Notamacropus eugenii: one gene and its partners. The protein of the gene in region 4 purifies or fractionates together with the protein of the main gene of each other region. This does not show direct contact. Links are inferred from orthologs where the notes say so. Each region holds a gene or a part of one and is shown on either strand. Other genes may lie near its edges.

Region 1 (8,000 bases), about 130 Mb from region 4:
CAACATTAAGTAGCTTCCATGTGTCAGCCACTGACCGGAGTGCTAGGGATACAAAGACAAAAAGCAAACATTTCTGCTCTCAAGGAGCTTGTTTATCTTCTAATGAGGTACACAGACACAAACACACACAGACACACAGACATGACAGGAAATGACTATTTATTTACTTGAGCCTTCGAGGACATAGGACAATGATTTCAAGTTCAGCTTCTCATTTCCTTTAGGGAGAGGGTTTGGAGATTTCTCTTGCAATGCAATGGCATCAGAGGAAGTACAAGTGAACCAAAGGATGTCAGGTGGAATCTTGAGAGTCCAGGGCCACTGCCTTAATTAGGGATATTCCAGCCGCTAAAGAATGCAGAGCATCACTAAATTCCTTAGCCAATTCCCTATTCAAAAGTGGAATTGGCGGTTTCAGGAAATAATTTCCCATCAACAGAAATCTTTAAGCAGAAACTAGATAGATGACCACTTGGGGATATTAGAGATTCAGCAGAGAGTTGGATAGGATGAACTCTGTGGTCCCTTTCAGCTGCAGGGGACTATGTTTCTATGATAAACAATATATTTCATAAAGGGCAGGTGGGAAGGTCTGTCTGCTGAAATTTCTTCATCTGTAAAATGGGGATAATAGCACCTACTGCCTGGGGCTGTTGAGAGGATGAAATGAGCTACCTGCAAAATGTAAACCCCAAGTGATACGTAGTTTTTATTATTATTGCCAACTTCAGTTTATCCTACCATCCAAACTGGGTATTCCTTATGACAATGTAATTCTTGTTGTCTTTTCTCTGGTACCACATTACAATCTATTCTTTTTTTTATTACAGTTGCTTTCCCAGGAACTATTGTGCATATTAGCCTAGGTTTAAATGGATTAAAATTTATTACATCATTATATGGAATACTACTGCACTATAAGAAATGATGACCTGGTTTCTTTTTAGAAAAACATGGAAAGACTTGCAGGAAATAATGAAGAGTGAAATGAGCAAAACCAAAAGAACATTGTATATAGCAATAGCAATATTGTTCAATGAACAACTGTGAATGCCTACGTTATTTTGAGTATTACAAAGACTCAAATCAGCTACAAAAGACTTATGAAGGAAGATGCTATCCACCTCAAGAAAGAACTGATAAGTATGTGTAGTATGGTTTTGCATATATATGCATACACACACATATACACATGTATATACATGTATATACACACACATACACACACACATATTGCATCAGTGGCCTTCTTGAGGGTAGTGTGGGGAGGGAGGGAGAAAGATAAAGTAAAAAGTGCACAACAGAGAAGAAAACTCAGAAGAAAGCACAGAAAAACAGGGTGGCTTTTAAAACAATGAATAGCATTTATTACATAGCTCAGCTTTTTTAAGTAAAGTATGAAATGGAATCATGGCTTCGTATTGAATTCTCTCCTTGTGTGGGGCTATGTAAATGGATTTTTTTTGTCTTTTTGCATTTAAATTCAAAAACGAATAAAAAATTAAAAATAAAAGAATGCTGTAATCCCCGTTTGCTTCTTTCAGTTTTCATATTTTAAAAAACTCTTTTGTAAAAAGAAAAAAAAAACCACAACTACTCTTCAAGATCAAATTGTTTTTTTTTTTAATTTGGAAATGAATGTAAGGAAGTCAAGGCCATGTATATAAATTTGAAAAAAAACCCAGATATGAATGTCTTAATAAGCAGTGTGATATACTGTAAATTCTTAACTTAAGAGTCAGATTTGAATTCTACTAGACCTTGCCCAAGCCAGTCACTAATTTCATGTGTAACCTCTGAGCTTCAGTTTCTTCATATGTAAAATGAAGGGGTTGGAGTAGATCAGTGAATCGAATTTAAATAGAAATAGGGACCAAATATTGATTTAGAGAAACTCAAATTAACACTGTATTTTAATTTGTTTTGTTAAACATTTCCCAGTTACATGTTAAGTCCTATTAGGGAGATTTGCCAGCTGTTAAAGTAGACTGCAAGGCCATGAGTTTGATATTTTTGGAGTAGGTGATTTCTAAGGTCTGGTCCAACCCTAAAATTCTTTGATTATTTACAAGAAAGGAAGCAGGATGTGGTGGATGGATGTCAAGCTGTCCAAGAAATCAAGAAGATCTGGGTTCAAGTATTGTCTCTGACATACAATGTCTGAAAGACTCAGGATAATTCACTTATAACAACTCACTGGCTAAAATGGGGATCATAATAGCACCTTCTTTACTTGCATGATGGTTAGGAGGATCAAATGAGAAATTTGCAAAGTGGAAATATTAGCTGAGCACATATTAGGTGCTAAATAAATGTATTAATAAAATTTATTAACTTATTTACTTATATTGATTTTTTGAACACTAATTTTTCAGGTTTTATTTTATTCATTTTATATACTTGCAGTTAGCATGTATGAATGAATTCTGATTCTGTTTTATGTCACATAATATTTCTTTTTATTCTTCATATTTACCTTTTCTTGCAGCACAATAATACTCTATTATGTTCATAAGACACAAATTATTTTACCATTCCCCAAACCATGAATACATGTATTTTAATCATTTAGCAAAAAATTCAGATCACTGAAAATTTCTATTAGATTAAGAGTTTTTAACCTGGATTCTAAGAACTTGTCTATTTTCTTCAAATGTTTGATAACTAAATTCCAATATAATTGATCTCCATTGTAAGCCTATGCATTTAAAATTCTGCTAAGATATGTGGAAGTGATTATAAAACACTGAAAACAAATAAAATAATTTAATTTAAAAATATAAAAAAATAAAATTCTGAGAAGAGGTCTAGAAGAGGTCTAACAGACTATGAAGGTGACCATAAGACAAAAAGATAAAAAAAATCCTGCTTTAAGATTAATATTTTTAAAACAATAAAAAGCCTTCACAACTAAAGGCAATATTATCATTCAATAGCGTCCACAACTCTTTATAACTCCATTTGGGGTTTTCTTGGCAAGGTTACTGCAGTGATTTGCCATTTCCTTCTCCAGTTCATTTTACATACGAGGAAAGGAGGCAAACAAGGTGAAGTGAATTGCACAGGGTCACACAGTTAGTAAATATCGTAGGCCAGTTTTGAACCCAGGAAAATGAGTCTTCCTAACTCCAGGCTTGGCACTCTGCTCACTGTGCCCACTGTGCGCCACCTAGCCGCCCTCTCTTTGAACTGACATAAAGAGGATTTCTGTGGGGAGTTCTGCAATTCTAGTGGTCAGGATAAACGAGTTACATGGTGAAAAAAAAAAAAATCTTCAAGTTGTAGTGATAAATAAAGCACTAGGTGATATCAAGAACAAACTTTTTCCCAAAGTGGAGCCCCGGATGATTGAATTCACGATCTGGCTTACTGCTTTCTCTGAATGACAACCTGTCTTCAAATCAAATTAGATGAAACTAATCCACAGTGGTATTTCTCACATGTTCTACTCAGAATCCTGCCATTTAGCACAACTTCTAAACCAATACATACTTCCGCTTTTGTGCAAACTACTTTTTTCTTCCCAAATATTTTTTTTTCAGTTTCCTTTCAGTTTGTAGTAAACTATGGGTTGGGTTATATGCAACAATGTATACCTGCTGAACCAGCAGGGGGCAAAATACAATGCGATAAATTAGATACAGTATATCCATTTTTCTTACTACTCAGGAAGCAGAAGGAAAAATTTGTAGCGATGCAATCTCTCCGTCTAACAAGGACTGAGTCGAAAGAGGCAAATATTCTATTTTAGCCCTCAAAGTCACTATGAAATGAGGGGATAAATTCTGCTCTTTCCCCTCACCCCAGAGAACAGACAGACACCGGCGCTGCAGTGGGATTGTTTTCTCATGGTCTCTAATATGTAAATGCTTTACTTTAGAATTGCGAAAATACCTTAAATTATTCAAAATGCCTAGGTCCGCTGAAGTAGGTGGATCACAGAGTGTGAGGAGCCCAAGTAAAAGCGATGCAGAGACGAAGAAGGGAAGGCTTATTTTGAGTGATCACAATAATTCACGTAGACAGCCTGGTAATTCATACTGCTGAATGAACTGGGCACTCAGAAGAGAAGACACGTGCAGTGGTGTTTTGCGATCCCCCATCGGAGGAATCCGATCTGATTTCTCCCCTTGCCGTGGACTCCTTTTCCCTCCTCGCTAATGTTGCGGTCAATAACTAAAATCGTCTAGATCTTTGAGAAAAGTCCTGCTTTGATTATTCTCCGAGACCCAGCGTACGCAGTCGGCTCCCCACTGAGCCCCTCGTCCGGTCCCCGTCCCGGTGCCTGGGGAAGCCCACAGGAGATCACCGGCTTCTCCTGGAACCCTGGGATTTCCTAACTGCTGGCGGCAGCAGATAAATGGGAAAGTCGATGGGGGCGGGGCGAAATCAGGAGAGGGGACCGGGCTTGGGCCGAGGGTCAGGGCCCGAGAGGGAAGAGAGGCACGAGGAGGGGAGGGCCCCAGGAGCAACGGAGTTCTCCCAGGTCCTCCAGAGTTAGCAACCAACCAGATTATGGCCCCTTTCCATTCAGTGTGGGCCGGGGGCGTCCGAGGAGAGGAGGCCCAGCCCCGAGGCACTGCTTTAGCCATTACGCCTGCCTCGGGCTCCGCTGCCAAGGGGAGGAAGGAGGGACGACTCTTTCTACACTTACCTCCGCAGCTCGCCCCGTACCAAGAAAAGGGCAATTTTGCCCTCACCCAAAATGGCGGGCCGAGCTCCGCACTCGACAGGAGCGTCTGTGACACCCGTTCTCCTCCAGGGGTCCCTCCCCACCTCACCCGCCCAGCCACGACCCATCCACCCTGCGCCCGGAAATGACGTGGCCGCGGCGGCGGTTCTCCCGCTGCATGATGGGAGAATGTGTGAAGTGGGCGGAGGGAATCTCCGCGGCGGAGGAGGAGGAGGCGGAGGAGGAGGAGGCGGAGGCGGCAGGCGGAGGGCAGCGGGATGGGGGTACCGCGGAGGCGCTGAAAGTCCGGGTGGGTGTAGATGGCGCCGCTCAGCTGAGAGGGCGGCGGGAAGCTTGCCCTCCCTAGTCGCCCACTCCGCTCCGCCCCGGAGGAGCCAGTTCCTCCCCCGGCCCCGAGCCATGCCCATCGCGGCCGCCCTGGAGGAGCCAGGTAAGAAGCGGCCGCCTCGCCGGGGTCTCCTCCCCTCAGAGGACGGGGCTGCCCAGACACCGGGCGCTCCCTGCGCGCCGCCTCCGAGGCCGCCCCGCGCCCGGCCGGGGCGGGGGGGCCAGGGGGCCGGGAGGCGGGCGGTGGCTGTGAGGGGCTCCTGCCCGGGGGGTGCGGGGAAGGAAGAGGCTCGCGGGGCCTGCGGCGAGCCCGTCCTGGGGGGCCGGGGCCGCTCCCCCCCGCCACCGACCGCCGCCCCGACCACCCCCGGCTCCCCAGCCCCGGCTGGAGGCGACCTCTCCCGCTCCCCGCCTGGTCCTGACCTCTCTACCTGCCCTGATTTTCTCTTCTTCCCCTCCCTCGGAAAACACACCCGCACACACCCGCACAGTTGTGAAGTTCGGAGCTTTGCTTGCTCCCCCCCTTCTCCCCTTCCTCGTGACAGGTGTAAACACTGCCCCTTTGCCCGAGGCCGCCGCCCGGGCCGGGGCCGCCTGCCCCCCTCCGCGCTCCCTCCTCCCCGTCACCCTCCGGAGAAATCACTTGTGACCCGAGGACGGTTGACTTGCCGGGGTCCGAGCGGACCCCTGCAGCCCGGGAGCTGGGCTGGCCCCGCCGGATAGGGGACTGGTTTAAATGCCGAGGAGGGTCCTAAGTCCTGGCGGGGCTTTCCTCCACGCCGAGCCCGGAGGGGACACCCGGCCTGTGGTTTAATTCGAAGCTTTTCCTTCCAATTTGGGCCGAGAGAAAAAGGGACATAATTCACCCTTGTTCGCTGAGTGGTTTGCAAACGGAAGCAGCGTTCAAGTTGCTTTCGGTGTCGTTTCTTTTTTTTTTTTTTTTTTTTTAATCCACTCCTAGGGGGAAGTCATGTCGAATTAAGCTTTTGAACTTTCCTTAAGGTGTAAGCCTATCCTTCCTGCCAGCCAACTTTTGAATCCTTTTTAGGATAGGATTTATCTTTGAAAATGAACTTGTTTGTAGTTTTGGAATTGCCCTTTTAGGCATCAGTATAAACTAATGTGACCATACTGAACTGCTGACTTGGTTGGTTAGACATATCAACATTTTGCATATTTAACATGCTGTCTTTTGTCGCAGAGGTCATAGATTTAAAGTTGGAAGAAACTTTAGAGGCAGTTTAGTCCAACCCCTTCATTTTACTGATGAGGAAATAAGCTCAGACATGACTTAACCAAGGTCACATAGGCAGCAAGTGACCGAGCTGAGACTTGAACCCAAGTCCTCTGACTCCAAAGGCATTGTTATTTTTGCCAGTACAATAGCTTAAGTGTTCTTGGCGAACCTCACCAACATTAGCTACAGTAAATAAAACGTCAGTTTCCTCAACATTGTCTTAACATTTTATCCACAGAAATATTAGACCGTGTGTAAACTACAGATAGTATTTTTGAATTAATACAAACTATTCAAACCCAACCATTACAAAACTGCATTTTAAATTTGTGGAAGAGCATACATATTCAATTAATTGTACGTGGTCGTCCCTAAAGTGCATGGGTGAGTTTTCTAAAAAGTTAGGCTGTTTAAAAAAAAAATGTTGGAGGTCAAACATTTTCAGTAGAAATCATGAAAGATTAATTTTGAAAAAAGCAACTTTGTTTTTTCCTTTTAGTTCAGTTTTTAATCATATGAGCATAGTAGATGTGTGTTTTAACACTGTATTGATCAGTTTCTTTATACATACAATTACTTGAATATAAAGCAGTTACTTTGCTAGTTATGATGATGCAGAGGCAAAAGCTGTCAATAATTATACATTGTGTTTGCAGGATCTGATGAATCTTATTTGTTAAAATGAACAGTTTGGAACTTAATTCTCTGGAATTTAAAACTTTTCTTCCTTCAAGTAGTAATTACTGTAAGCTAAGTTTATATTGTTACAGAAATTTTTAAGAATTTGAATTCATTTAGTTCATAGATAATTAACTAATTCAGAAAAAATATTACTCAAGTCAGTACTAAATGCATACTTTGTATAACTGCTAAAACCAACCCCAGGGAAATTGATTGGCTGGTAACCCCATGTGAAGTGTTCTGCCTCTCATTAACAACTTTGAAAAAATTCTCATGATAGAATGACCAAGTGTTTGGGTCTTTTAAAACCTATTATAAATTTTTCAGTTAAAACTTTATTGTTCAACTGTGTTTACTGCAAGTAAACTATTAATCTGTTATTTTGTATTTTATATTTATATAAGAATTATTACTTTGTATTTTTTTTTAAAAAGTCATTACCAGGAATTCTTAAATGCCCTAAAGAATTGCTGGGTTTGAAATTTTGAAGTGGATGCCTGATATTTCACATTAAAACATATAAATGAATCTCTTTGTAACTTTGAAAAGACCTGTCTTTTACATTAAAAAATGAGTAGAGGTTAGAATTTCCTTTTCCTCTCTTCCTACTAATAAAATCTGAATCTTTGGAAGGCCTTCCTTTCCCCACCCACCAAAGTCTCTGTCTCTATCCTTCTAAGCCCTGGCTAGTATGATTGTGAGAGGAAGTGTAACCTCACTTTAGAACCACACAGTAAGGAATTAAATAGACCTTATAGTTTATTTAGCCCAGTCTGCCACTTTACAGGTGAGGAAACTGAGGCTCACAGAGGATTAGTTACCTGCCCAAGATCACATAGCTAGTAAGTGACAGATCTGGGATTTAAATGAGAGGCATCGAGTTAGTACAAATCAGATCTCTCACATTTACTAACTGTGACTCTGGGCTAGTCATTTAACTTCTATTTCATAAAAATATTTGCATTAATTTCCTCATCTATAAAATTAGGATCATAATAGTTCCTACCAGGGTTGTTGTTAGGATAAAGTGAGATATTTGTAAAGTGCAAACCATAAAGTGTC
Region 2 (7,995 bases), on a different chromosome or scaffold from region 4:
TAGTCTGATAGCTATGTGGAAGATGCCTTGGAGAAGAGATGAGAATAGAAACTACAAGTCCAATGAAGGGGTTAGTGCAGTAATCTATGTGACATGTGATGAGGTCCTCACCTATAAAGCTCTCCCATATATATGAAAACCTACAGAAAAAAAATAGGAAAGAGAGGAAGTACTTATATATTTTTTTGTCTTCAGCTTGATTTTCTTTAAGCCTGGAAGCACTATCTTTTAGGCTCACCTAGGTAGAGCTAGGTTAGGTCAAGGGTTAAGCAAGCAAGGTTAAGGTGGAAGGTTGATTCCCTTAGGCAGAGATCACTTACTTGCACATGTTGCTCAGCCACAGCCTGTACCCCAAGCACTTAGCCAACTGAGTGGAATATTTGCACTGTTGGTCACAAGAGAAGCCAGCTGAGAATGTTATAGAGCTCAGTGCAAAAGCACCACTACCACTGAAAGAATAGCCCAAACACATGTCCTATTGATGTCAGGTCTTCAGTGTCATTTTCCAATGTGAAAATCAGTTTATTTCTTCTGGGCCTGGAATATGTCAGGGATATAACTTTATTTGGTTCTAAAATCATTCTTTTAATCAAGTTTCATTTTTACCTTGTCATTTATTTTTTTAAAAACCAAGTTTTAGACAATGTAGTGCAGCAGAAAGAGTGCTGCATAGGAAGTCAGAGGATCTGTATTTGAATCCTGGCACTGTCTCTCACCACCTTGGGCAATTCCCTTGATTTCTTTGGTTGCTCTTTCCTTGTCTCTAAAATGAAGAGGTTGGACTAAATAATCTTTATTTTTCTTTCCACTTGTAAATTCATGATCTTAAGTGGAGCTATCTCTTTACCTTTTAAACTTTTCAGGGGAGATGAGATGGCTGTTTTCAAGTATTTGAAAGGAGGAATGTGGAAGACATTAGCCTCCTTCTGTTTGGCCCAAGAGGAAAGAACCAGTAACAATGGGTGGAAATTGCAAAGAGTCAAATTTAGGTTTGATGTAAGAAAAAAAACTCAAAACAACAAACAACTTCCTAACAATCATAGCTATCCAAAAGTGGAATGGCCTCTCTCAGGAAGTAGGGGGGTTTCCTTTCATTGGAGATTTTCAAGCAAGGGCTGGGTAATCTCTTGTGGAGGGTATTATAGGGGGGATTCTTTTCCACATGACTACAGAGGTCCCTTCCAAATGAATTCTGTGATTCCATAAACTATAGGTAGCTCCAAAAACAGCCTTTACTATTCTATAGAGAATGGGGGAGGAAAGGTTGACTTTGTGGCACTTCAGTGAATAATTCCCATCTGAAATAATTTCATAATCGCTACATACCATTTCCCACTGAAGCAAAAAGCAACTGGAAAGCACTAGCCTGGGAGTCAGGAGAGCTGACTTTTAGTCTTTTTTCTGCCACTAATTCTTTGTGTGACTTTAGATAACTCACTTCATCTTTAACAACTCTTTGTTTCCCTACTTGTGAAATGAAGGGGCTAGGCTATCTCTAAGTGTTCTTCCGGTTCTAACAATATGATTTTTATTCTTTGGTCATAGATGAATGTCTAAGTTTAGAATTATGTCCAAAACAATTTCCCCAGAAAGACTGTATAGAAAAAAGGGTCTTTAAGATCCCAAAGGGAAGAGGGGAACCCATCTTTACAGTGCACCATTTGATGAATCACTGGAATGAATACATGTCTAACAAAAGGATTATGTCAAAGGAAGACACAGCTAGTCCATCATTGTGAAAGTCTGCATGATTATACAGAATACATCTGTTGAGTTTGTGGCCCAGATTTGGATCTTGACCAAGGCTTATTGAAATGGCTCGATCTCTAGCTGTTTAACAATTTTTGTTTTTTTAAATTGCAGTTTTGCTTGGACAGTTCTTAGGATGGAATTGTGTCATACTAGGATACTCCAGCAGGTGGCAATATATCCTGCTGACATCATTAGGACTGAAGTGACCTGTATCACTAAATCTGTTTCTTTCTAAAAATAAACATTACAAAATTAGCTGGCTCTTTACTGATCTCAGAAATCACGCAGCTAGAGTCATCTTAGGACTCTGTTTTAATTTTTCCCCCCTGTGTTATGTCACCCTTAGCTCAAGCACAAAGAACACTCAGGGTTATGATCCTTCTTGCTGAATGACTTTCACAGAAAGCAATGTTAAAATGAAATTATTTTAACGAAAATTATTAAATTCTGATAAATTTCAATTTTCACCAAACAGCTGAAATCATTAAACCACCAAGACTCTGAAAATGAAACAATGAACAGGGTTATTCAGAGTAGGTTAAGTATCTCAAATTGGGCAGCAATTTATTAAGTCCTTACTATGTGTAGAATCTTGTATTGAAGGAGATCTAGTTTAGACAAGATTGTACCTGTCCTTGTGGGGCTTATAACCTAGAAGGGGAATATGCCATATAGACATATAACTATAATAAAAATACATCTTAAATGGTTCAGTGGAAAGTGAGCTTCAGATCCCAGCTCTGATATTTAATACCTGTGTTACCTTGGGAAAGTCACCTTTCTTGTCTTTTCTTTTCCTCATCTCCAAAATGAGGGGATTGGAGTAGATGATCTCTGAAATCCCTTCCAGACCTAAACCTATGATCTTCTGATAATGTGTATAGGGAAATGTCAACAAATACTCTAATGGGAAGGTGGGGGATGTCATTATTGCCCCAAGGATGGGTGGATAGGTGGAAGGAGAGGGATGGCATACGGGCATCTGTATGGGTAGGAATTCAAGGGTCAGGAGGGATTTCTAGCAAAAGGTACAGCGGAGGCATTTAATACCTGGATGTGAAGACTTGTAGAACATGGATATATTGGGCTCAGTTTCCTATACTGTTGACTTTTACATCATTTATAAGTAGATAATGGTGAAATATGTGGAAAAACCTCCAGAGATAATTTTTATATAGATTCCCTTTGATCAAAATACCAGAAAATGCCTTTTCTTTTCCTTCCACAAACAGCTATGAAGGCCTGCAGAGAAAACAGCACAGCCTGCTCTCTTCCGTGACTGCAAATAACACACCCTATTTTTCAAGGCAGAAACAGGCTAAAGGTAACATACCAAGAAATTGCAAAAGATACAGCTGGAAGGGACCTGAGAGATCAGAAAACAGACCGACAAGTGAAGTGACTTGCCCAAGGTTACAGAGCTATTACATCTGGACAGGACTGCTTTTTTCTTTACTAAGTAGCCCTCCACTGGTCCCCATTATCTCCAGTCTTTAGAGGTAGGGATCGGGGGCCCAAGTGCACCGCCCCGCACAGGTGAAGAAGCTGTTGTCCCAAGTCTCTTCTCAAACCCGCTAAGAGGCTTCCCTTGGAAGGCTCTCTCGGTGCCAGGTAGTGCCGGGTAGTGCCAGGGGGAGCCGGGGCATTGACAGCTGAAACTTTCCAGGGACGTTTCTTCCTTTTCCCCTTTCTTTCGTATTAACAACGGAGCCTTGCAAGGGAGGTCTTCCCTCCCCCCCACCCCCCATCTCTCTGTCGTGGCTCGGCTTTGACAGCCGAGCTTTGCTAAGCAGGTCTCGGTGTCTGTCTCGGTGTCTGTCTCGGTGTCTCTCACACACACACACGGATACGAGGACATAACTACACAAGCAGGGATCACGGCTCTTCAGGACATCTGTGTGAAAATGAGAGGCCAAGGAGAAACCCCATTCACCGGAGGGATCATAAAGTGGGACGAACCTTGTACTTTGCGTACCCCACCAGCCTACTCAACCCCCACTTTACAGAGGAGGCTAATAGAGGCACTGAGGGACCTAGTGACTGGCTCCAAGCGCCACGGCTGAGATTTAATCCTCTGATTCCAAGATCTAGTATGACATCAAGTCTTCCCCATAACCAGCTCCCCCGGGGCCGCGTCGTGCTCCGGGGCGTTGCCTCGCTACAAGGCGCAGAGCCCTCCCGGGGCCGGGCCGCCCGGCCGCAGCACTACTTTTCCCTTCCCTCTCCAGCACGCCGCCTGCGGGGGAGGCTCCCGGAGCCGGGACGAGCGCGCGGAGGAGGCGGCAGCGGCCGATGCGCCCTGGTGTGTGTGCGCCGCGCGGAGGAATCCTGAGTGAGGCGGCTTTCAGAAGTAAGAGAGGAGGCCGGAAAATAAGCAAAAGAGAGAGAAAAGTAGGGCGGGGGAGGAGAGCGAGTGTGGGAGAACGAGCCTAGGACTGGAGAGGACAGAACCGGAACCGGAACCCGTGCGCGCGGCTGGAATCGTCGCGACCCCCCCTCCCCCTGCGCGCCGCCTTACCTTGGGCGTCCGACGCATTCCCCGCTCCCCTCCCCCTCCGTCCCGAGCGCGCTCCCGAGATAGCCCCGCGGGACCCGGCGAACCGGCCCTGAGGGGAGTCCCAGCCGCCGCCGCTCCCCGCCGGCCGAGACGGGACAGGCCCCTCTCCCGGGAGGAGCCGCGGCGGAGAGCGGAAGAAGCCCGAGCCAGCTCCCAGGGGATGGGGAGCCGCGGCCCGCGGCGCTGAGAGACCTCGGCCCCCAGCTCCTCCTCCCCCCCTTCGGACTGACTCAGCGAGTGCCCGCGCCCCTGCCCCAGCCGCCGCCGGGACAGCCCTCCCCCCGGGCGGACGGGACGGGACGGGAGGGGACCCCGCCCCGGGGGACATGGAGGAGCCGAACCCTGCGGAGCTGAGCGAGCCCGGCGCGGGACGGCCCCACGAGCGGAGGCTGCAGCAGCAGCAGAGGCGGCGGCGGCAGCAGCAGCAGCAGCAGCGACGACGACTCACCCGCAGCCCCAGATAGAGCCGACTGGGCCCCAGCCCGGCCCCGGCCCCCGAGCTCGAGAGGAGGAGGAGCGGGGCGCCCGGCCGCTGCCCGAAGCCGGGGAGCCAGCCGCCTTCGCGGAGACTCGAGGCCGCCCCCTTTGCCCGACCTCACGATTCCCGGGCGGGCCTGGAGCGTGTCCCCCCCCCCCCCCCTCCGAGACTTTCTCCCGTTCTTCCCCCTCCCCCCGGCGGATGCCCTATGACTGGCCGGAGTTTGGAGTCGGACTTGTGCGTCCCTCTCGGAGCCGCGCCGGCTGGGGGTGGGGTGGGGACTGGGATGTGGTTGTAAAATGCAAGTTGGATAGAAAGACGACCTCTCGCCAAGGGCCCCAATGAGTGGCACACAGTCTACTATCACGGACAGGTTGGTATGAAACTCCTTTTACTGGTCAGCCTTTGGTAGTGAGCGACTTCCGCCAGCTCCATCACCCCGGAGCTTGACAGGCCCGGGGCAGAGTAGGGTTCGGATCTGTACAAGTACTCCCGAGCTGCAGCCGCCCCGTCACCCAACGCATCCCTGGGGAAGGGACACAGGATGCGCACCTCCAGGTTTCAAAATGAAGCTAAGCTCTTGAGAAACGTAGGTAAAATGAAGGTTTGGGTTGTTTTGGCACTCCTGAGAGTCTTTATCACAACCCCCGCCCCCTCCCAGAAGGTCACTTTGGGTGAAGGTCAGTGCCTCACATCTGTTGGATACCGGGGCAATATCACTCACCCAGTTGTGTGGGCAGTTTGATATTGGATTTTTCCTGAGGGAGAGCTACCTTGTGGCCCGTGTGATCTTCGTCCCTTTTAAAGGGAACTTGGGACCTTGGGACTAGTGAACTTTTTTGTTGTTCAGTCGTTTCAGTCGTGTCTGACTTTTCGTGACTCCATTTGGAGTTTTCTTGGCGAAGATGCAGGAGTGGTTTGCCATTTCCTTCTCCAGCTCACTTTATGAGGATGAGGAAACTGAGGCAAACGGGGTTAAGTGGCTTGGCCAGGGTCACACAGCTAGGAAGTGTCTGTCTGAGGCCACATTTGAACTTCGGAAAATGAGGCTTCCTGACTTCAGGCTCTGCACTCTGTGAAGATCTTGGTCTTTTTTAAAATGTTGGCTTGCCTAATTTTTAATTGTTATATAGTAACTCGGCGATGAATGGAACTCTGTATCTTGTTATAGTTGGGGTAAAGCATCTGGATGGCGATTTTTTTTAAAAAGCTTTTTGGTTGTTATATTTCCATATATGTTACATTTATGTGTTAGGTATAACATTCCATATATGTTATAGTTCCATAATTTCTGATTTTTATATTTCCCAGGAAAATGTAGTTTAAAAGAATATCATAAGCAGTAAAGGAATTATGTAGGGTTTGATGTGCTAGCTAATAAATGGATTTGTCTTTATTAGCACTTAGATTAGATGGATCATTTCTGATTTAATAAGTCAGCAAATACTTTTAGGTTAGGTACTCTGAACCCTTGAGTATTAAACTTTTAAATGTGATACAGTAACATTAAGCACATTCATTTCTACAGTGTTTTTACATATATCATTTTCATTATAACTGGATTCCTTTCACACACAACAAGGTTGCATATTTGTGGTCCATATGCTAACTTCATATTTTTCTTTTTGTGTTCTGGACTAAAATTACAGTTTTTCTTCCAGAAAAAACTCTTTAACACAACTTAAGAAAGTGGAGGGAGGAACTAAAATTGAAGTTTAATAAAAGAAACATCAGCTTTAGAAAAGCCTATTTGTTTTTAAAACTCCTTTGTTGTAAGGTAGAACAATAGGACTCTGGCAAAAAGTGTTTGAATTACTTTATAAGAGTTACACCCAATTGCTGGACTCATTTGTTGATTAAAAAAGGGCTGAATTCCATTATCATACCAAAACAGCTCCTCCAGAGACAGAAGTTGCACTTCCTCTTCCTGTTGATGCTTTCCACAGTGTCACATGCACACTCACCTAAAGCATTCTACTGACATTTAAAAACTCCACATATGCTCTTTTAAAGTGTATCATTTATTTTAAAAATGAGGTTTTGTTGTCTATGAAACATTTTTTCCTGTCTCCTTTGAGCAACCACCATGCTTATCTTGTAATGCCTGAATGTACTTTTATTCCCCTTTCTTTCAGGGTGTTTTGCTTCTGAGAATCACTTTCAGGGGTGAGTGGGTAATTGTTTTCCTGGCTCATTCATTTCTTGCCATTTTTGTTGAGCCATTAGACAGAAAAACACCATTAGAAACAAATGTGTTAGTGGTTTATTTCTTCCTGTTGCTGTTTAAGTCTGTAGAAATGGAGTTTAAGACCACCAACTCATGCCATACAAGAGTCACCAGTGATCTTTTTTGAGTGTTATTACTGGAAATTATATTTGCCTATTTTCAGTTTTGGACATATATTTTCTTTGTCATCTAGTTACAGTATGTGATTCTTGTGAGCATTAAACTAAATTTTAAGTCAGGGGAGGTGTAACTTTAAACCTCTCCATTTTGGTTGTTGATGGTAAAGTTTGTTTTGGGAGTGAATTTTTTCAGATAATTCACAGCACTAACTGATTTGCAGAGTGATATGACAAAAGTCTTTAGAGATACTCTAAGTTGCAGATGACAAAATGTAGGCAATTTAACCAGGCAGTAAGGATACTTGTTTCTTAGGTGTTCTTGTTATAATTTCTTTTCTGCATACTTTTGTTCACTACTTTGTATTGATTGCAGGTGTTGTAGTTTCCCTAATTATTAGCTAAGATCATAGTGTGAATAGTTGTTCTACTATAACTGTGCACAACTTTGACTTAATCTGACTTGTAGTACTGATTTGAATGTGTTGGGGATAAAATCTGGAAGTACTGGTTTAGTGTTGCTTCTTTGCCAAGGATCCTGAAAGTCCTCAGTAGGGAATACTTCCCAGCTTCCTCTAGGCACCACCCACTGTGGCCTTCTCCTTCCCACTATTCAACTCCAAACTAGTGTTGATGGTGTAGTTGATGTCTGACAGCTAAGTTTGCAGTGACTGGCAAACTGACAGTACTGGTGGACCTCGTTATGGTCTTTTCATGATTGAAGTACTATATGGGGTATGCTTTGTAGCGTGTGCAAAATCATCCAGGCCAGCTGTGTGTGAGTCCTTGTTCTTTCATTGTAGTGCTTCTGACTGTACAGTTTGTCTGTCCCTAGCTAAAATCAGACTGGCTGGCTTTGGGCGTT
Region 3 (7,240 bases), on a different chromosome or scaffold from region 4:
AGTGACCTGAATAGCCACTTTTCAAGTGTGTTAGAACAGCAATTCCTCCTTGATAGGAGCTGGACCAAATGGGCTACCCTTGATCTTGACCAGATCACATGACCTAACCCTATCCATTTCATTTCCCCCTACCTGAATGACCCAGATACTTAGGTTCATAAATGATCATGTATTTAGAACAAGAAGGGGCAGTGGAGGTCATCTATTGCAAATCCCTAATTTTGTAGTGAGGAAACCAAGGCCCAGAGTGGTCAAATGACTTGCCCAAGGTCACACAGAGCTAGGATTTGAACTTGGATGTTTCTTCTGTATGACTTCTAAGGTCCCTGGTCCTAATCCCATTTGTGAGCAAGTTTCACTTCAGGGTAAAAGAAGTTTTGATACTCAAACATGGAAACTCTAGTAACATAGCTAGAGAATGACCCTAAAATATAGCTACTACATATGGCAAAGGCACATGGTCTTGTGTGCTGATATTAGAAACAGCACCCCCACACCTTACCCCACCAGCTGCCATCTTCAAACCTAATTTTGTTGTTTAGTTGTTTCAGTCATTTTGTGACTGACTCTTTGTGACCCCCTTTTGGGATTTTCTTGGCAGAGATATTGGAATGGTTTGCTATTTCCTTCTCCAACTCATTTTGCAGATGAGGAAACTGAGGAAGACAGTGTTAATGACTTGCCCAGGGTCAAACACAGCTAGTAAGGCCATATTTGAACTCAGGTCTACCTGGTTCCAGGTTCAGTACTCTATCCACTGTCCCACCTAGTTGCCCAAAACCAATCTGAATCACATATTTGGAGTTGGAAGGAACTTTTGAGATCATCTAGTCCTTGGATGTGGAACCTGCGGCCTCAATGCCACATATGGCCTTCTAGGTCCTCAAGTGTGGCCCTTTGAATGAATCCAAACTTTACAGAACAAAGTCTTTTATTAATGGGATTTGTTCTGCAAAACTTGGACTCAATCAAAAGGCCACACCTGAGAACCTAGAAGACCACCTGTTGCCTCAAGGCCAAAGGTTCCCCACCCCTGAATTCTAGTCTAACTCTCGAATTATACAGATAAGGAAACTGAGGCACAGCAAGGTGAAATAACTCATCTACGAACACAGAGCTAGGATTTGAAACCAGGCTTTTTGATTCCAATACCAAATTTTAATTTCTAATATTCCCTTTTGATGCTTCCAGAAGGGAAGACTGAATACAAAAGACTCATAACATTTTAGAGCTAGACAGGATTACAACATTTAGAACTGAAAAAGGACCTTTGAGATCAAATTCAAATCTCTATGCTTACAGATTAGGTATTTGCTTAGAGAGAAGAAGAGACTGTTTAAGATTGATAGTCATTTATTGGCATTGTAGGGAGAAGATCCCAAGTCTTTTGAGTCCCAGAATCTCTGTCCAGAGCACTGCTCATTTCAGGCAGTACATCAGTCAGTCTATAACGATTTATTAACCATCTGCTATATGCTAGGCATTGTGCTTAGCACTGGGGATACAAAGAAAGGCGAAAGACAGTCCCTGATCTCAAGGAGCTCACAAACAGGAGAGATACCAAGCAAACAAATATTTGCAGACAAGAAAAGTACAGGATAAATTAGATGTAATCAATAGAGGGAAGGAACTAGAATTAACAGGGATCCGGAAAGGCTTTCTATAGAAGGTGGGGTTCTAGCTGGGACTTATAGGAAACCAAGGAACAGGGGATAAGCCCTACTTTTCCTTTCCTGCTCCCTTTTTCATTATATTCCTCACTTTCTGCTCCTTCTTCCATGTTGGTGCAGATTCCTGGGAAGGTGGTAGTGGGAAGCACATATGTATAAAGAGAAAAGATTCCATTTCCTTCAAGTGATATCTGCTACTGCCCAAACTCATTCTGCCTTCTATTTAGCGTCACACTCCCTAAATGGGTGATCAGGCATAATCCCAGGGTTTTTCACTTTTCAGGGTTAGGAAAGAAAACAGCAAAGTCATTGGTTAGTCAATCGTTCAACTCTAGGGAGTATTATCAACCCTATTCTCCCTTACCCATCCACCTATCCCTAAGATTACTAAGCAAATAACTAGAATCACAGTGTTAAATCACTGAAGTCTGACCTAAGACAACATCAAATTGCCCTCCTGGCTCCCTCCTCTTTACAGGTTCAGAAACTGAGTCCCAGAGAGGCAACACTTTTTAACCAAGTTCACACATCAGATAGTGGCAAAACTGGAGTGAACATCCAGGGCTCCTAGACTCCTAGTCCAGTACTTTTTTTCACTACAACATACTGCTTATTCACCAAACTTCTAAACCCATCAGCAATTCACTTCATAAGTCTCTGGGTCTGGCTCCATGTCAGGAGAAGCTAGGAGGAGGTAACATGAGTCCCTGCCCTCTTGAAGCTCATCACATGTAGTTCAATGTCTCCTTCCAAACTAGCTTTGTCATTAGGCTGAGGAGGGACAGCCCAGAAAGCAAGTCCATTTTTTAATGGGCTTTTCTAAGACTCTGGTCAATTAAACCCCTCCCTGCCCAGGCAGCTGTTTAAAGGAGGCTCTAGCCATCAGATGTGGCAGCTGCACCACCCCATAATCCAGAGCCCCCAAGCTCCAGAGACGCCAAGGCCTCTGTCCAGGTAGCTGAGCTTGCTCTGGAGCTGAGGTAAGCCTGTCCTTAGGGGACCCACCCTGAGGATCTGTTCCCCTTAAAGTGATGGCCTTCAGAGGCCTCCACCAGGGGATCTAGCTTCCCTTGTGTAAAGTATGTTAGAATAGCAACGGTGAGGGGAATCTGAAGCATCTCAGGATTGGGGAACTGATCCTACTGTTTAGTCTTCTTTTCAGTCATGTCTGATTCTTTTGGGGTTTTCTAGGAAAAGATACTGAAGTAGTTTGCCATTCCCTACTCCAACTCATTTTACAGAACAGGGTTAAGTGATTCACCCAGGGTCACACAGCTAAGAAGTGCCTGAAACTGGATTTGAACTCAGGTCCACCACTTGTTTCCATTTCACTACCTAGCTGCCCCAACTGATCCAGTAGCAGCATCTAGAGTTGTTAAATCATAAAACTTCAGAGCTGGAAGGGTTCTTAAGCATCATTCACTCCAATAATCCAATCTCCATTCTACAAATAAAGAAACTGAGGTGGATGAAAGTGGTCTTCTCAAAACACAGTGAGCCAAGCTCAGAACCAGGTTTCCCAACTTGAAAGCCATTGCTCTTTCAACGACACCACTTTTAACTGCCAAAGAGAAATAGCACCACAGACCTACAGCTGGAAGGGATTGTAGAGATTATTTAGACCACCCCTCTTCACTTTACAGATAAAAAAACAGGGCCAGAGAGGTGAAACGATTTGCCTAGAGTCATCCAGATGGCAAGCAGCAGAGAAAGAACCTGATCTTCTAAGAGGAAGGTGTCTTTTTTCTTGGCTGCACACCTGGGGAGGTGGCTAACACCCCCATCACTGGGAATTAATGAAAACCGTACAATCAACCTCTATGGAGGCCCTGCCTCTGATCCTATGCTAGGTCCTGTGGGAATGCCAAGACTGGAGGCCCTCAAGAAGTTTACAGTCCGGGGAAAATAACACAAGCCAATGCAGCTGTGGAGTAGTGGGGAGTCCTGGAGGGAGACTTGGGAGGACTGAGGTCTAATCTTGGTTCTGTTTGCTACTGCCAAGCTGTGTAACTTTGGCTGTCACCTCCTCTCTCTCTGGGTCTCGGTCTCCTTAGCTATAAAATGCCGGGCTTTGGAATTTTCAAACGAGGAAACTGAGGCCCGGAGTGGTTCATCTGCAAACTCCTCTCAACGTCTAAGATAAATGAATCCCCAGGAGGTCCTGGGGTCTGTAAGCAAGCCTGTTCAGCGTGGGGCAGAGGTGAAGCGAAGTGGGCTGGCTGGTCCTGGGCTGGGAGGCCTTGCAGGAGGAGCTGGGACCCGCCAGACTCCCAGCAGCCGCATCAGGCTCCCTCTCCAAGGTATGGGGGGGGGGGGCTGGGGGAGGAGACAGAGGAGGGGGTTAAGGATGGGTGCCGGGAGGGAGGAGCAGGGCCGGGAGTGGGGAGGTGTTAGGGGACTAATCCCCGCGGCGTTCGGGAATGGGGGGCTCGGCTTCTCCCCTCCGCCCCTCGGATCGCAGACGCGGCGGGAGACACCGCGGGTGACTCAGCTTCCTGGGTCCGACTGGGGCAGGCTCCAGAGGCACCTGAGAGCCCAGAGGGCGGGGCCACGGTGCACGTGACCGCCCCTCCCCCCCGCAGGTGGGGCCGGGCGGGGCCGTGACTCAAGCGGCTCCTGGCGGCTTCCGACCCGTCGCCTCCCGCCTGTCATTCGCTCCGCTTTCCCTGGACGGCCAGCGCTGCGTGCCCTTCGCCGGCGCGGCCTCTTGGACCCAGGCTGCCGGGGAGAGCCGGGGTAAGAAGGAAACCCCCACCTGCCCGGCCTCCTAGCTGCCCACCCAAAGGCTCCATCTGCCCCCTCTGCCGCGGACCGGCCGGCGCTTGGCCGTGCTTGGAGATCCGGGCTGGCTGTGCTGGCCCCTGGGAGCACCGTGGGGGGTTTTCTGGGGGTTGGGGGAAGGGACGAGAGACCAGGCCGGAGGAAGGGGAACACCAGGTCCGGCCCCCCACCTAGAAGCCCCCTCAGACTTCCAGCCCGTCCAGCCCGGACTGCCCTTTCTGCAAGCCCTTATTCATACTCTCCGTCTCTTTCCCCAAACAGGTTCCCTATGGGCAGAATGCAGGTGAAGCCTGTGCGTGCCAACCACTACCCGTCCTACTGGGCCATCGCTGGGGGGTCAGGCATCTGAGCTCCGGATCCGAGGAGCAAGAAGGAAGGGGGGGGAGAGAAGAACACCTTTGGCCTCCGGGAAGCCCCCTCCTAACCCCTAGTTTAACTCTGCTCCAGCTCCCGCCACCCTTTCCTCCTTCAGGCCTGACTTGACCAGTGTATGTACCCCTGGCACAGCCATGGCGTACTCCCAGGTGCAGTGCCTGGACGACAGCCATGTGAACTGGCGTTCTAGCGAATCGAAACCTGAATTCTTCTATAGTGAGGGGCAGAGGTTGGCCCTGGAGGCCCTGGTGGCCAGGGGCCCCGAGGCCTTCTACGAAGTTCTCAAGAAGGAGAATATCCGGGACTTCTTGTCCGAGTTGGAGCTCAAGAAGATCCTGGAGACAATTGAGGTCTATGACCCAGGGTCTGAGGACCCCCGGGAACACAGAGGCCTCTGTGAGGGCTCTGGGCCCGATGATAAGGAAGAGAATGGAGAGGGAGGTGGTGATGCTGATGCTGATGCTGATGCTGATGCTGACCTGGTCCCTTCCTTGGAATACTGGCCACAGAAGTCAGACCGCTCTATCCCGCAGCTGGACCTTGGTTGGCCCGATACCATTGCCTACCGTGGGGTGACCCGTGCCAGTGTGTACATGCAACCTCCCATCGATGGACAAGCTCACATCAAGGAGGTGGTCCGGAAGATGATCAACCAGGCACAGAAGGTGAAAAGGGATGGGGAATCCTGAGGGTGAGGGAAGGGGAATAAGGGCTAACATGTATATGGAGCTTTAAGACTTGCAAAGAGCTTTACAGATATCTCATGTGATCCTCAAAAAAACCCTGGGAGCTAGATGCTATTAGTACCCCATTTTACAGGTGAGGAAAGTGAGGCAGACAGCAGTAAAGTGATTTGTCCAGGGTCACACAGATATTTGAGGCCAAATTCGAACTGGGCTTCCTAATTCCTGTCCCTGGATTTTGCCACCTAACTGCCTTTCAGGAAAGATAGGATTCCTGGATTTTCTTGCACAGTTCACTATATGTCATTGACAGAAATGTTTCCTTAGAGGTCAGGAGACAGCAGGCTTCAGTTTCAGGGCACTGAGGGGGAGAAGAGACAATGATCTTCAAAACTGAGGGAATGCTTGTTAGACAAGAATGAGAGAGAATCTCTTATCTTTGAACTGACTACTTTCACCTCCTACCTACTCCCCTTTTGCATTAAGATGCCAGGGATGCCTTTTCAAATATCTTTGTTAATTCATATCAGCTTTCTCTTCCTTTCTAAAAAGCCTTCCTGAGAAAATTCGGTAGCTGAACAGATTTTACCTTTAGGCAATGGCACAGTGTGTGTCTGTGTGTTCCTCTATGACATAGTGAATAGTAAGAAAGCTCCTGCCTACGCAGATGAGTATTTGATGAAACCAGGGTGGGTGTGGGCATGACTCAGATCACAGTAAGGTCTGAATCTAGGATTTGGGACCAGAAATTCTCCTAGGGTGTCCATAAACATGTGATTTAGACTCTAGAGGGCAGCTGGAAAATAGACAAACTCATCCCAACTGTGACTAAGATGAACACTGTAGTCTGAGAAAAACAGTGTATTGGGCTAAGGGATTGGGTCTAGGTTTAAGTCCACACTTTGCCTTGGTAGTGCTGGGTGATCTGAGGAAGTCACTTGACTTCTCTGGTCCTCTGTTTCTGCTTGGGTAAATTTTAGGATACAGAGTAAATTTATAGTCTGCTTCTGGAGCCAGGGGATTTGATGCTGACTTGGCATGGGCAGGCCAACATTTCATTACTGAGTTGAGGACTGGACAAAGGTAGCAAGTTGCTGAGTAGGAAGAGTCAGAGACTTCAGCAAAGGATATTTAGGCTGAATCTTTGTAGAAGCTGAGAGTTGAAAGGAACCTGAAAGATAATTTGGCTCCACCTCTGCAAGTAAGGAGGTGGAACATGATACAGACTCAGCTTCCCTTCATTTTAGTTATACTCTCCAGTTCAAAACACAAACTCCTTCAACTGAGATCTGAGATTTGTTTTTTTTTTTTAGCCTTACAGAGCATATTGAGTAGCTTTCAAACCCTGCCTGCACTTTAATTCTCTGTGTGTATGTACGTATGTATGTATGTATGCATGCATGTGTGTGCGTGTGTGCATGTGCACACACAAACAAGCTATTAAATAGGACTTTCCACTTAAAAGAGGTCTTGCTTCAGCCTTGTTTGGCTGTAAATGAGCTGCTATTTTGGTCACATTTACACTTTGAATAATAGGAAGGAGAGCTCCCAGAGCCCTTCAGGATCACTCAGTCCACTCCCTTTATTTTCACAGATGAGCAAACTGAGGTTCCCAGAAGGTTACTCAAGTACTAAGTGGAAAAATGGAGATTTGAACCCAGATTTCCTGATTGCAAATCCAATACTCTTTCTCTCTGCCTTCTGGTGCTTTTTAGAGATTGGGGTCATCCT
Region 4 (7,178 bases):
TAATGAATTTGATCTCTGCAGAGCAAGGACTGCTGATGACTCTCTAGCTAATTTTGTGGTTAAGTTCAGTTTATAATTTAAGCATTACAAAGATATTTTTAAATGCCTTCTGTGTTCCTATCTTAGCTCCATAGGCATTTGTCCTTCATATGCTACTACTCACTTGACACATATGCTGAAGTTGCTTTGAGTGATGTGATTTCTGGAATTCTGTTTCGCCAGCAGTGAAAGCACTAAAAAAATGGTTTTCTTTCTCCTCTTTTCTAGAAAGCCCATTTCTTGCTTTCCCTAAGGGTTTCCACATAAAGATGAATCACCTGACGAGGAAGATGGAACACTGAGCACAGACTATTTGGGATATTTTCATAAGATAATTTAGAGTTGGAAAGGACCTGAAAGGTCATCTAGTTCAGTTTCTTCATTTTACAGATAAAGAAACTGAAGCCAAAAGAGAGGTTCAGTGGGATGCCCAAAGTTCAGAATTTAAATTCAAGGTCCTTTGACCCCAGATTCAGTGTTCTTTACATTATACCATAGTGACTCTCAAAATTTCCTCTTCTCTTAGTAGAGTGCCATAAGTGATAATTAACAAAAAGTCATTTCTTCAGTGGCATTCATGGCACCCAATTCAACCTCAGTTTGCAAAAATTCACTCAGTTACTACTACTAATTTGCATCCACCACTTTACACACTGGCCCTCTTCTTTACAGACATAGTTTGATACTAAAAAGATAATCTATCAACATGTTGACTCAAAAGCATAGAAAAGGTTTAAAGAGAATAGCAAGCAGATAAACAGACTTCTAAAATGACATTAGCTGTCCTCTAGGGACATGATGATGGCCTGGCAACAATTTTCTAGTGGCCTAGAATAGAATTCTTCAGGCTTTCCATTAGTTATAGGTGTCTCCTTTCTCTACTAGTGGGGGCTTAGGTAAATGAAGTTGGGACGTGTTAGGGAAGCAGTAATAACTTAGGAATGATTTTGAGAGATTACAGCAACATAGTTTTAATTAGAGGCTAGCCAAACCTACGTTGACAAAGGGCAGTTTATCCAGGTATAAAAATAAAGTGCAACTATTCGTGTCAGCCCTTATTATTTCACACACCTGGGTGATGGCCCTTAGGAACAACTCTAAATGGAAATCATTTCCACCAACATTTGCTAAAAATAAATACATAAATAAAGTCATTACAGTAGATTACCCTGTTTTAGTAATGTAGCAACTAGCCTACATGCTTAGAGTGCAGTTACAAAGTTGCAACGTCCCATAGGACAGCATTAAAACACCTTCTCTTCTGTCAACTTCAACTATTTGAACTTAATTTTAAATAGCAAACGTTAAGTCCCTGCACATTCAGGAGCCAATGTCTCTGTTTTATGAAGCAAAATGGCAAGAGTTTTAGCATGTTTTCTAGCAATCCCTCAAGAAGGGGAAGCATAAACAAAATAACAGGTAAATGTAAAGCACTGACAAACCCTGGGCTAAAGGCCCTAGGTTTCCTTGCAAATAACAAATTAGAACCAGTTGCACACGTTGCATTTGGTATCCCCTCTTCGAAGCTCCCAGCAGCCCTGACAATTTTAATAAGAGCAAAGAGAGCAGACACCAACCCCAAAAGAAGATATTATTTACTTAGGCTGCCACCGAGAAAGCTTACACACTACCCATTCGTAGGAAGGCTACCCAAAGTATGCACAAACCAACCCGGGCAGTTTCTCTAGGTAGAAAACTGGGCGCGGGGAGGAGGGGAGGAGATGAAGAAATAGAATCCTGTAAAGTCAAGTCATTGGAAAGAGAAACGTTTCTGCAAAGGAGAAATTTCCATTTTTCTTTCTGGGGCACAACATCAGAAAGTCCAGAACCTGGGGCGCGGGGGAAGAGGGTCTGGAAAATCCCCAGCGCCCGGTCCCGCACAACCCCGAGGCCCAGAAGCTCAGCCCTTCCCCCACCCCCAGCCCAGCTCCCGGCACCCACCCAGTCCTCCCGGCGCTGGCAGGCAAACGCCCAGCGGGCAGCCCCGGCCCGAACCGGAGCCTTCCCTTCTCCAGGCTATCCGTCTCCTCTTTGGCAGTGTGGGGTGTGGGAAGAGGAGGAGCTGGGCTCTGCAAAGGAGCAAGGCAAGTGGGGCCCGGTCCCGAAATGTCCAGGATTCAGACCCGGTAAATACAATAAACAGGTGGACGCCCCTTCGAAACGCGTTTTCCTGGGTGGGGGAGGGGAATCTGAAGCTAAATCTAAGGGGGGAGGGGGGGAGAAGGGGACCTCCAAGCGGCCAAGACGCACACACAGAGCCCCCGAGAAATAAACCTGAAGGACATTTTCTTCGCGCCTGCCTCTCCCGGGCCCCCGGAAAATGGCTGCCAGTGGTGCCTCGGCCAGGGCCCGCAAACGCCCCGGCCGGGCCCGCGTCCCCGCGCTCTTACCTTTGAATTTGAGCTCGTGCTGCGGCTCGAGGCTCAGGACCTGCTCCACTTTCGCCATATTCCTCGGATTGGGGGAGGGGCGGGGGCGGGAGAGGGGGTGGAGGCGGCCGCTTCCCGCTGCACCAGGGTCGGTGACCCAGGAGGTTAAAATAAAGAGGGCATGGAATAACAGACGGAAAACACGCTCAAGGAGCACCGGCGGAAGGCGCAGAGGGGTCTCGGCGACCTGGCGGAGGGCGGGCGGCGGCGAGATGCCCGGGGAGCCCAGCCGCGGCCCGGCACCCTCACACACTCACTCGCACACGCACGCACACGCACGCACGCACACGCAGACCCACAGCCAGACCCGGGGAGAGAGGGAGCAGGCGGCGGAGGCGAGGGAGCGGGGGTAGCGGCGGCGGCGGCGGCGGCGGCGGGAGGCGCCTGCGATGATGCAGCACCCGGAGGGCCGGACAGGCCGGAGCTGACGTAGCGAGCGCTGCGAAAGCCTGGTCCTCCTTCCCGGCCACCTGGGCGAGTGCGCGCGTGCTGGATCCGCCTGGGGCGGAGAGGGGAGAGCTGGCGCGCGGAGGAGAGGAGGGCAGGGCCGCGCGCCCCGAGGGAGGGCGTGGCGCCAGGGGCGGGGGCGCCGGGGCTGGGCCTCCGGGAGGAGGGGGCGTGGGGAGCCCCCGAAGGGGCCGGGGCTGGGGCGGCACGAGCGCGCCGCCGCCCCGCCGTGGTGCTGCCCTCGTTCTGCTGGAGACCGCGGCTCTCGTTCTTTCTGGGGTGTCAGCGGCCGGCTTTGACCGTTCTTTCCACCACCACCGGATAGTTACCTTTGCCCAGAGGTCACCTGGAAGGATGGTGCCCGGGGCCTTGGCGGAACCGTGGGCATCGGGAGCAGCAGTGTTCAAATGAATATCAGTTTTACTTCTGAAACAAGCGAAGGAACTTGGGCAACCCAGATGCAAGTGCATTATTCTGATAATACATAATGCTTGTACATAACCTTGCAACAGTTTCTACCACCGGTTACTATCGTTAGATTCACTAATCTGTTAGGTGGACCAGGCTCAGGGTAATTACCCCCACTTTAAAGATGAGGAAACTGAGGCCAAGAGAAATCAATTGATTTGTCCGTCGTTGTGCTGCAGCTAGGTGACGACGTGGATAGGGTCAGGAGGACCCGAATTCAGATCCGACCTTGGGCAAATCACTTCACCTCATTTGCCTCTGTTTCCTCATCTGTAAAAGGAGTTGGGGAAGGAAATGGCAAACCACTCTGGTGGGTGGGATTGGGAGGAGTTGGACACGACTTAGTAACATACTATTAGTAAAAAGGGACCTTTAACACAGATTTTCTACCCTTGGGTTCAATGATCTGTGTTAGACCCTACTGCCGTTCCTATATATTAAATAACAGGTGCTCTACAATCCTCTGAAAGCCTCTGAAGGTATCCTCAGACTATTCTATAAAATATAATTAATGTGAAAGTCTTACATCAACCAGGAAAGGGAAGGATTATGAAATACCTTCTTCTACCTTCTTCTGTGGAAGTTCTCTGAAAATAAATATTTTCCCTGTTAATCTTTTAGATCAATTCCTTAATATAATAATTTGTCAGTGCTGTCCCAGTATTTTATCTCTAGACAATTAGGAGCCGTAAAATCTGGTTCTGATTTTTATTTTTGTGTCTAAGCAGATCTAGGGCTTTTCACTGGCAGGAGTGTTTTAACATCTGACCATAAAACACGATGAATCAACCTATTAAAGCTTGCAACAAGGCAGAAGATTGTGTAGAAACATTAAGGAAGTAGGCTACAGTATATATCTGCATTATTTATAATGTATCCCACCTCTTCAGCTGTTTCTGTCCATCTCAAACTTCTCTGTTCATCTTTAGAAGGCCTCTTTCTGATCCCTGGGTGGTTCAGACTAACCGTGATCCTGTTTAATGTTGTGCATTCAGTGACTTAGAAAGATTCTTCTTTCTCATTTCGCTACATAATTTAAATCATTTTGCTTTTCTTCATTTGACTTTTTTTTTTAAATGAAGAATGACAACTTTGGTTTGTCTCTATTTAAAAGCTGCAATATGAAAAAAAAATTAGCATGTTAATTATGAGCCACATGTTAAATGACCCTCAGCTCTTAGGAGATATACAGGGGTTAGCATTATATATGCAAATACAAATCAGCTCACATATAGCAGTCATGAATCTTGTTACATCAGTAAATAATTAAGCATGTCAAACAGCAGGCTTAGATGTCTGAAATCAACTTTGTCCAGGAAGTGATTTGTATTTAACCATCACTTTCAGATGCTATTTTTTTTCTACTTCTTCAAATGTTCTTCCACATTTGCCAGATCACTTTAGCCTCTGTATCAGTTTATTCAATTTCAAAATACTGAAGAGGCAAGTTAAGATTTTTCTATTTAAACTCAGTCACTTAGAACAACAGGTTGTACTTTTTAAAAAAATGAATCTGATTTCTATAAACTTCGTATTTAAAACTTTCTTCCCAGAAATTCGTAAATTTGGCAATTATACTCTATCCCACTTGTAAAAATTGTTCTTTTGCACTTAAAAAGAAATCAAGGGTAACTGAAAAAGAATCCCCAACATCTTAACTGTCAAATGTGGAATTATTGCTTTTGTAATAACATATTAAAGGAAAAAACAAATCTAGATATTTTATAATTTAAATGGCTTGTATAATAAAATCTGTCAAATTTGCATTGCAATCACACGGGTTAAAAATGAGTTCTTATTGTTGTTTTCATAATTCTTATTCTCATTCTTTCATACATTAATAGTATTGATGTTAGCTGAAGATGGGAATGCTGATGTCAGTGTTAGCACTATGAAAAGAATCTAGGTATTTGACCTTAAATGTAAAGTTCAGCATTTCATTTTTAAAAAATAGCTGTTTCCGGAAAGGTGAATAGAATCTTTGTAAAACCTTTGAAGGCTGTTCCCATATCATTTAACAAATAAGTTTATTTAACAAATAAGTTTATTTAACAAATTTCTGGATCTATATTATTTATGTATTGAAGACTTACCAAAGAACTTTTTAAAAAATCAGTTTGGTTGTTTCACATTATTTACAATAAATACAGTACTTTCATTTTTATAATCTTTACATGCCAATCTAGTACTGTGGGAAAATGCTAAACCTTAAGACAAAAAAGACCCGAGTTCCAATTATGCAACAGACATTTGCTGTGTGACCATGGGAGAGTTGCAACTTGTTTCCCTATCTGTTAAATGGGCATAACAGGACCTGCCTACTTCACGGGGTTGTTGTTGTTCAGCCATGGCTGATTCTTCATGACCCCAGAGACCATTGCCACACCACACCCTTCTATCCTCCACAAGGTCTCAAGTCTGTTGAAGTTCATGTTTGTTATTCCCATACTATGTATCTCATTCTCTGTTGTCACCTTTTCCTTTTGCCTTCAATCTTTCCCAACATCAGGGTCTTTTCCAAGGAGTCCTGTCTTCTCATTATGTGGCAGAAGTATTTAAGCTTCAGCTTCATTATTGACTGACATTCCAGTAAATAGCCTGAATCAAATTCTTAAGTATTTGATCTCTTTGCTGTCCAAGTGACTCTCAAATCTTCTTCAGCCTTACAGGTGTTCAGTGAGAGTCAAATGAATATATGCAAATATGTGCAAAATATCTTGCAAACCTTAAAAGCAGCATAATAAATTTCAACTATTAACTATTAAAGGTGTTTTCTGAATTCTAGTACTGTGAAACTGCTAGAAAATACTGAGAAGTTTTAGGCAGCACTGTTTAAGATGAAAATCTAAATTCTTGGGCTCTTGATTAAAACAATGGGTCTATTAACACCCTAATTCATTCTGACCAGAGTCAGATGTAAATTTTTTTGCTACAATCTGTGTCAAGAGCCCTCCAGGATATGTACTTTCTTTTGTCTTCCTTTTAAAGAAATAGTTTAATGCTTATAATAAAAGATCTAAGAAAACTGATGCTTGGTTTCTCAAAACAATATCGACCTTTTCAGTAGGGCAGCATATTTTTAAGCTGGTATTGATTGGACTCAAAATACCCACAAGCTTTAAATTTAAGCCTTAAATGTTAGTTATCTCAATCACTACCTCACTAGAAGTCTGGTGCTGAATTTCAAATGAAAGTTACCAATCAATTTGGAAATTATCTGAAATCTGAGAAACATGTTCTAGGCACTGCCTGCCCTGTCTAAGCCTGCAGGTAGGTACTGTCAAGCACATTACAGCAGTAAAGGATCCTGATTCTAAAAAGCTAAGAGAAGATGAAAACATGTTACTTTTCACAGCATGTACACAGTAACACTATTCACATATACACTGCAAATGGAACACTAGCATCTCTGATAAACTTCTAAGTTTGAAGTGAAATTAGTTTTGAACTTTTTATTTCATGACCCATTTAACCAATTCAACTCTACCCTCAAAAGAAAGGGCTAATCTTGGCCTTGGCAATTCTGGCCCCTGTCTTGAATCACAAGGGATGAGGAAGATTAGGACCATCCAGAAGGATAACCTAGAAAGTAAAGACAGCTGGTTCTTGTTGCCACTTGCCTGTGTGACAACTGTCAGTTCTGTAGCTAGTTTCCCAACTCTGTCTGGGAACTGTTTTAGATATGCTATTTGAGAAATCATGATTTGGAGGAAATATGTGCTCCTTAGATCAAACCACAAAGAAAAACCATTCTAGAATGCAAGTCTTCATGTTTATAAACACATTTTATTAGTA

What was found.
Region 1: the proteins of VAPB (region 4) and AFTPH purify together in Homo sapiens (affinity purification with mass spectrometry; 3 studies listed by BioGRID and IntAct, counting the BioPlex papers as one, with this or other methods). This does not show direct contact. The link is inferred for Notamacropus eugenii from reciprocal best matches to the Homo sapiens genes VAPB and AFTPH.
Region 2: the proteins of VAPB (region 4) and ARHGEF12 purify together in Homo sapiens (affinity purification with mass spectrometry; 3 studies listed by BioGRID and IntAct, counting the BioPlex papers as one, with this or other methods). This does not show direct contact. The link is inferred for Notamacropus eugenii from reciprocal best matches to the Homo sapiens genes VAPB and ARHGEF12.
Region 3: the proteins of VAPB (region 4) and FAM83G purify together in Homo sapiens (affinity purification with mass spectrometry; 3 studies listed by BioGRID and IntAct, counting the BioPlex papers as one, with this or other methods). This does not show direct contact. The link is inferred for Notamacropus eugenii from reciprocal best matches to the Homo sapiens genes VAPB and FAM83G.

The regions. Positions count from the first base shown.
Region 1 is NC_092872.1:639,957,966-639,965,965, reverse strand, and holds the start of AFTPH (aftiphilin), read left to right. Parts: upstream 1-4,998; 5' UTR 4,999-5,123; intron 5,124-8,000. UniProt on the Homo sapiens protein: Component of clathrin-coated vesicles.
Region 2 is NC_092876.1:277,951,687-277,959,681, reverse strand, and holds the start of ARHGEF12 (rho guanine nucleotide exchange factor 12), read left to right. Parts: upstream 1-4,994; 5' UTR 4,995-5,128; coding exon 5,129-5,160; intron 5,161-7,995. UniProt on the Homo sapiens protein: May play a role in the regulation of RhoA GTPase by guanine nucleotide-binding alpha-12 (GNA12) and alpha-13 (GNA13). Acts as guanine nucleotide exchange factor (GEF) for RhoA GTPase and may act as GTPase-activating protein (GAP) for GNA12 and GNA13.
Region 3 is NC_092874.1:320,030,152-320,037,391, forward strand, and holds the start of FAM83G (protein FAM83G), read left to right. Parts: upstream 1-4,240; 5' UTR 4,241-4,406; intron 4,407-4,712; 5' UTR 4,713-4,960; coding exon 4,961-5,491; intron 5,492-5,507; exon of another isoform or gene 5,508-7,240. UniProt on the Homo sapiens protein: Substrate for type I BMP receptor kinase involved in regulation of some target genes of the BMP signaling pathway. Also regulates the expression of several non-BMP target genes, suggesting a role in other signaling pathways.
Region 4 is NC_092872.1:506,916,711-506,923,888, forward strand, and holds the start of VAPB (vesicle-associated membrane protein-associated protein B/C), read right to left. Parts: upstream 3,013-7,178; 5' UTR 2,488-3,012; coding exon 2,430-2,487; intron 1,964-2,429; exon of another isoform or gene 1-1,963. UniProt on the Homo sapiens protein: Endoplasmic reticulum (ER)-anchored protein that mediates the formation of contact sites between the ER and endosomes via interaction with FFAT motif-containing proteins such as STARD3 or WDR44.